Linked DNA regions of Ovis aries. The protein of the gene in region 1 purifies or fractionates together with the protein of each later gene. This does not show direct contact. Links are inferred from orthologs where the notes say so. Each region holds a gene or a part of one and is shown on either strand. Other genes may lie near its edges.

Region 1 (3,500 bases):
CCTGGAAGCCCGCAGTCTCGTCGTCCCCTTCATAGTCCGCGATCGAGACGTACACATCTTTGAGGTTGTTGTGGATGAACTGGGACTTCTCAATGGGCTTGGGGCGCACAGGGGACACGGGGATACCATTGCGCTGAGTGGGCAGCAGGGGGGGCTCCGAGCCCTGGCTGGCAGCACGTTCAGCCAGGCGGCCCTTGGCCTCTGCGGCTGCAGAGCGGGCGGCGCTGAAGGAGGAGTTCCGGCGGACGCCTCGGAGGCTGTCGGTGGCTGTGAGCGACTCGTTCCTCCTCAGGGCACAGGACAGGTTGCTGTCCTTGGGTGGCGGGGACACGAACACCGACTGGGGCCTGACAGCCACCTGCCGCACGCCGTTCCTCATCTTCACCGCCCCGGCGCCCGAGGTCTTGATGAAGCCCCCGGGCGGCTTGGAGGGGATGGGCGGCGTGGCCCTCTTGCTCTGGTTGACGGTGTTGAGCGCTTGGACGCGCTTCTCGATTTTTTCCAGGCTGTCTGACTTGCCCTCGTTCTGCTTGCTCTTGGGGGCCACTGTGTCCGTCTCTTTGCCAGGCGGGTCGGATGGCTCTTTCTCGCCGAGCACCAGATAGTGGGCGGGGGCCCAGCCCTCCAGCTCCCCAAACCTCACGTACCACCAGCCGCTTTCCAGCTTTTCAAGCACCTGTACCTCCACGCCCGCGGGGAAGCTGATCTCCGAGTCCTGGACCTTCTGGTAGGCACTGCATGTGGTGTAGGAGGTGGCCTGCCCTTCCCGCCCCTTCTTGGTGGGACAGGGGGGCGAGGCAGCAGGGAGGGTGATGAGGTCAGCCGAGCCTCTCCTGGACCCCTCGCTGGGACCCTCGAAGGCTGTCTGGGGGGGCAGCTCGGAATCCTCGCTCTTGGAGCCCTTGAGGCCGCCCCGGAGCTGGCCCGTGGGCCGCAGCTGGCGCCGTAAAGTGCTGATGTCCATCCTCTCTTGACTCTGGGACTCTGCGCGGTTCAGGAACGGCTTGGGCCGCACTGAAGGCTTGGCCCGGGCACATGAGGTCAGCCCAACCTTTGGGTCGGCATCCTTCTTCGCCCCGACCTTGGGAGTGCCACGGATGCCCGCGTCCGAGGCGGAACGGGGCTTCAGGTCCCCGCTGTTCTTGGACAAGGATGAGGAGGAGGAGGAGGAGGAGGAGGAGCAGGTGGTGTTGATGGTGATGGACGAGGAAAAGGAGGCCGAGGAGTGGTTCTTCCCCAGTTCTGCCTGGGCGTTCTTCTCTGCCTTGAGCTTCAGAAGCGAGGATGATTTGGGGGAGTCCGATTTGGGGGAATTTTTCCTGGCAAGGGACAGTGGGGAGCCCCCTGGGGAGTCGCTGTCTCGGGAGGAGCGTCTGGCTGACAGGCCGTCCTCTACACATGGCCGGAAGCCCTCGTTCTCGTAGATGGTCTCCTCCTCCAGGGCCACGTCCTCTGTGGATCCGCCCACCTTGAAGCGGGCGCGCTGCAGTGAGGAGGCGGGCGAGGGCCTGCGGGGCTGGGTGGGCCGCCTGTCTCCTGAGCCACTGTCCTCCGTGGGCTCTTCACTCAGCTCCGGCTCTGAGTCGAAGCCAAAGGCAGGGATGTCGTATTCGGGCTCCTCGTACTTGAGCCTCAGAGGGGAGTCCTGGCTCTCGTTGGGACCGGCTGGACCCTCGTCGGCCTCCTTGGGCTTGCTGGGTGGCGCTGGCGGGGGCACCTTGGGCCGTGTCAGAGTGCTCGTGCGGCGGCTCAGGTTGGGCTTCTTGCGCTTATCGATGTAGGACGCGGGGGCCCAGCCCTCCTTCTCACCAATCTGCACGTACCACCAGCCACCTGAGTTCTTGTCAATGACCTGGGGGAAGGGGCAGGCAGGCCAGTGAGGTGGGGGACTCGCTGGCGCCTGACCGTGTGTGGGCTAGGCCCTGACACTAGGCTCTAGAAGACAGTATCTCCACTTCCTGGACAAGCTAACACCACTAAGTGGCGCAGGACCCAACGAAGTGATGGGCTGGCATTCAAACCCAGGTCTCTGTCATCTCCAGGGTGGGGGATTCCCTTTCTCCAAAGCCCCCGCCCCTGTTCTTCCAAGTCTCCGTCAACACCCTGGTGGAGCTGGCCTCCTGCACAGACCCTCACTTCCCTTCCTGCTGAGCCGCTATGCTTAGAAGATGCCCTGTTCTCAGTCCCTACAAAACCCCACTAGCCAGGGACCCATCTGTACAGAAGATTGCCACTGGACCACTCCCATCCCCCAATCACCCATGCATTTCTGGCCCTCCCTTGGGGTCCCTGGAAAGGGTCTCTCAGGGCAGAAGAGAACAGGAGGGTGCAGGTGAGTGGAACTCAAAGGTAAAGCCTGAGACCAGATCTCCCTGGTTTCCCCACTGCACATGGTCATTTCACACTACTGAAATCCCACCACTGAGGAGATCTCTGAGTTGGTTTCCCATGGGAAGGTTGGGGCTCTCAGTCATTCCCACATGAGTATAAACTCACTCAAGAAGCTTGTTTCTAAACTGCTACTTGAGACTGGAGAAAGGCCAGGAGTGTGCTTGCCGGCTGTACCAAGGGCTTTCCATGTGTGCAGGCTCCGCATTCCAGGATACAGGGGCCAGCTGCACTCATTTTCTATAAGGGCACTGAGCATCCCAGGATCTGGGTCTTGGAACCAACCCCCCGTGGATCCCAAGGGACAACTGTAATTTTGAACTGTGGAACACTCCTGGAAGAAGGGTCCCAGGGAGAAGGAGGGAGGCTTGAGAGCACTGGCTGTAGGGGAAGAGGGGCAAGCGAGGAAGGAGGAGAGTGCTTCTGAGGCCAGCTCTCGGCAAACCCTGCCCTGCCTTGGGTCCTACATTTCATCCCTCGCTCTGCCCACTCCACACTCAAAATGCCTGCTTGTGTAGATCCTAAGAATGTCAATTCTCTTACACCATGAACTCTGTAGGCTCTTCTGGAAGCACAGGCACCACTGAGAGGATGATTTCTCTTGGAAATTTAGTTCTAAGTTCTAGGCATGTGATTTAAAACATCCACTTTGGGGATATCACCTCCTCAATAGGTAGAGACGGCCCAATTACTCTTCTGATGGTTTTACAGGAAGTATTGGATTTAACTCTATTACTACACAGAGCCACCCAAGAGAAATGGCTGAGTCACGGATCTTCTCTGGCCCCTGGAATGCCATGTGTAGGGCTGGCCACAGAGCGGGGTCTCAGAAATGCTAGGAGACGGGCTGGGAGGGAGCAGGAAAGGGCCTATGACCCATCTCTAGAGAGAACTCATCAAAACCTGGGGGAACAAATGCTAGAGGATGGACTGGGAGGGAGCAGGAAAGGGCCTACGACCCGTCTGCAGACAAAGCTCATTAACGCCTGGGGGAGAAGTGCCTAAATCAAAGCTCAGAGGTGCCTGTGGTGTGGACATGGTCAGAACTGGGGTCCTCAGTACCTTACTGTGGCTGCCTGCTCCACACTCTCCCAACAACAGCACTTCCTAAT
Region 2 (3,500 bases), on another chromosome or scaffold:
CACCAATTCCAGCTCTGCTTCTTTCTAGCTGTGGGATCTTGGGAAAGGTGTATAACTCTTCTGTGCCTCAGTTTCCTCATCTGTAAAATGGGGTTGATAGTAACAGAGGCTACTTCAAGGGTTTTGAGAGTTCAGCTATTAAATTTAAACTTAAGTTAAAATTAACTTAAAACTGTGCCTCTGGCACAAGAGCAAGTCTTCATTAAATGTGAACTATTATTATAATCATTCAAGTAGAGAATGGATATGAAGGCCCCTTTGTTAAATGGCTGGACATTATTTTAAAATTTGTTCTGTAAAGATTTTTTATTATGAAAAATTTCAAGCATACAGAAAAGTAGATAGGAAAACACAAGTACATTAAATATATATTCACTACATAGATGCAAATTTAAAAAATATTTTGCTATATCTTATACATATGTGTGTGTGTATATATATATATATATATATATATATATATATAGGCTGATATAAATCATTTAAAAATAAGTTACAGATATCATGATACTAAATCATCATCATGCATCACCAAAAAAAAAAGGCCATTCCCCTATATCCTCATATACCATTATCATACCTGAGAAAGTTAGCAATAATGCCCTGGTAGCTAATGCCCAGTTCATGTTTAGGATTTTCCCTACTGTCTTGAAAATGTCTCTTAGGGCTGTTTTTCTCAAATAAGACTCCTATCATGGACCAGGCACTGCATTTGGTTGTTATTTCTCTTAAGTCTCTGAATCCACAATAAACTATTTGTGCTACTGTTACTCATGTTTGGATTACTATCTCATTCTTCCCTCTCCTCTAACAAAACCCATCAGAAGAGCAAGCGTCTTTGGGGAAAGGGACCCATCCTTTCTCTGGAATACTCTCTCCTCTAGGGAGTAGCCAGTCCCCTGGCACAAGGTCTAGAATGCCTCAGCATATCTGAAGGCAACAGGAGGCTGGAAAGAAGATATAGGCAAGGGCAAGTACCTGGCCTGGAGCTCCAGGGAGCGCTGCTTTCCTGACACCAGGAAGGTCCGAGGCAGATTGAGGTTGGAACTTTCCTTCAGCTGAATGGAGAGAGAAAAGGGCTTGGTGAACTACTGAGCTCACCTACTGAGCTCCACAGGGCCCTCGCCCTCTGCACACATGCACACACTTGGGGGTCAGAGTCAGAACATCTTTGTTCCTCCCAGCACCAAGGTCCCACTCCAGGTCCCCCTTCCCACCTCCTGGTGCTCACCTCCATGCCATCTACATCAATGCGTGCCCGCACGCTAAACTTCTGGCCAAGGAGCCGCAGCCTGGGCACACAGTAAAGGAGGCGGTCGTTGAACTAGGAAGGAAAAGGTTTTGGATGTATGTGTGGAGGCCCCACAAGGGCTATGGCTCAGCTCCCTTCCCTTATAGGACTCCTGAAGCTTTACTGCTGGGGACTCAAAGCAATAGATAGAAAAAACAGACCAGATTGGGCACAAAGGTTGCAAGGAAAGAGCCTAGGCATGGGAGTCACTTCCTAGTTGGGTGGCCTTGGGCAAGTCAGTTCTCTCTAAGTCTTAGTTACATAATCTGTAAAGTTGAGAAAAAAATGCCCAGTATAGGTAGTACAAATGCAATGCATTAGTAGAGGAAGGAATGGAGAGCAGGAAGTACAGCCTTGAGTGAGTACCGGGTCAATGTGGCATGGCGGGGTGGGGGTGGTGTGGCCCACTTGCACCCCTACCCCTGGCACTTACTAGTATGAGGTATCGGTCTTGAGTGGTCCCATTCTTTGCTGACAGCTTAAGGATGTGGCCTTCTTTTATGAGCTCTTTGGTGGGGCTGACAATGTCTTCCTCACCTCCTAGCAACTCGTACACCTTCAGCAGCTTGTGCATTCGCTCCTGGTAGTGAGTAAAAGGCAAGGTTTGAGGTTCCGGCCTCCCCTCAGATGTCCACAGGTTGCAAGCCTCCCACTCCCCAGGATGGAGATAGGTGGCTGGCCAAGGAAAGGCAGGGGCTAGAGGGGCCACTCACCATTTTGCGGATGGCAGCATTAGAGTGCTCTGCTGCTGTGGCTATCAGCTCCAGAGACTCTGTAGACAGAGTGGGAGGTCAGATAGGGGCTAGCAGAAAAAAGGCTTTGGGAGCTTCTCTGCTCCCTGAATACCTCCTCCTGGTCTGGCCACACCCTCCCCATTCCAGAAAGTGCCAGCCTCAAAGATGTCCATAGCAACATCACTTAAAATCAGAAAATGACTCGATTAATGCCACAGTAGTAGCAGAACCACAGGACATGAAATAGCTGGCAGCCAATAAAATGCAAGCTTAAGATTATTATTACCACTAACAAAATAACAGTAATAGTTACACCTGTAACTGGAAGGACATATACTCATGTTTAACAAATTGTCTCAGGAGCTTCTCTGATGGCTCAGTGGTAAAGAATCTGCCTGCCAATGCAGGGTTTTATGGGTTTGATCCCTGTTCTGAGAAGATCTCATGTCATAGGACAACTAAGTCCGTGTGCCATACTATGGAGCTTGTGCTCTAGAGCGGTTAGCTGCAACTACTAAAGCCCGCGCACCTAGAGCTCATGCTATGTATGCAACAAGAAAAGCCACTGTAACTAGAAGCCTGAGCACTGTAGCTAGAGAGTAGCTCCTGTTCACCACTAGAGAAAGCCCTCCTGCAGCAAGGAAGACGCACTGCAGCCAAAAATAAATAATTTTTTTAAAAAAGTTGTCTCTGCAGCAAAAGAGACACAGATGTATAGAACAGTCTTTCGGACTCTGTGGGAGAAGACGAGGGTGGGATGATTTGAGAGAATAACATTAAAACATGTATATTATCATATGTGAAACAGATCTCCAGTCCAGGTTCAATGCATGAGACGGGCTGCTCAGGGCTGGTGCACTGGGATGACCCGGAGGGATGGGATGGGGAGGGAGGTGGGAGGGGGGTTCAGGATAGGGAACACATGTACACCCATGGCTGATTCATGTCAATGTATGGCACAAACCACTACAATATTGTAAAGTAATTAGCCTCCAATTAAAATAAATTTGAAAAAAAGTTGTCTCTAGATGATGGGACTATGGGTGATTTCACTGTCTTCTTTTTCCAATTTTTTGACAAAGAATACGTATTACCTTTTATAATCAGAAAACAAGTCATATAAAGAAACAGAGACAGTTCTATTCTTTGCCTCAATAATTCTGATGATAGGAATCTATGCTAAGAAAATACGTGTTCTGTGTACAAATACACTTTTGTTGCAGTGGTGTTTACAATAATGTCAAACCAGAAATAATACAACTGTAGGGGTTCAGTTAAAGAGAGTAATGTGCATTCATATAACACAATACTAAACAACCTTTGCAAATGATGCTTTTGTAGGATTTTTCATGATCTGTGAAATTCTCAGGATATTTTAGGAAAAGGAAAGGATACAAACTTGTGTATATGACATGATTTCAATGCCACAAATATATGTGTATAAAAAATACCAGTAAGAAATTATGTCAAAGTGT

The links.
Region 2: the proteins of SH3PXD2A (region 1) and FGD1 purify together in Homo sapiens (affinity purification with mass spectrometry; 3 studies listed by BioGRID and IntAct, with this or other methods). This does not show direct contact. The link is inferred for Ovis aries from reciprocal best matches to the Homo sapiens genes SH3PXD2A and FGD1.

The regions. Positions count from the first base shown.
Region 1 is NC_056075.1:23,856,660-23,860,159, forward strand, and holds part of SH3PXD2A (SH3 and PX domain-containing protein 2A), read right to left. Parts: intron 1,853-3,500; coding exon 1-1,852. UniProt on the Homo sapiens protein: Adapter protein involved in invadopodia and podosome formation, extracellular matrix degradation and invasiveness of some cancer cells. Binds matrix metalloproteinases (ADAMs), NADPH oxidases (NOXs) and phosphoinositides.
Region 2 is NC_056080.1:52,484,052-52,487,551, forward strand, and holds part of FGD1 (FYVE, RhoGEF and PH domain-containing protein 1), read right to left. Parts: intron 2,064-3,500; coding exon 2,005-2,063; intron 1,872-2,004; coding exon 1,725-1,871; intron 1,325-1,724; coding exon 1,232-1,324; intron 1,059-1,231; coding exon 979-1,058; intron 1-978. UniProt on the Homo sapiens protein: Activates CDC42, a member of the Ras-like family of Rho- and Rac proteins, by exchanging bound GDP for free GTP. Plays a role in regulating the actin cytoskeleton and cell shape.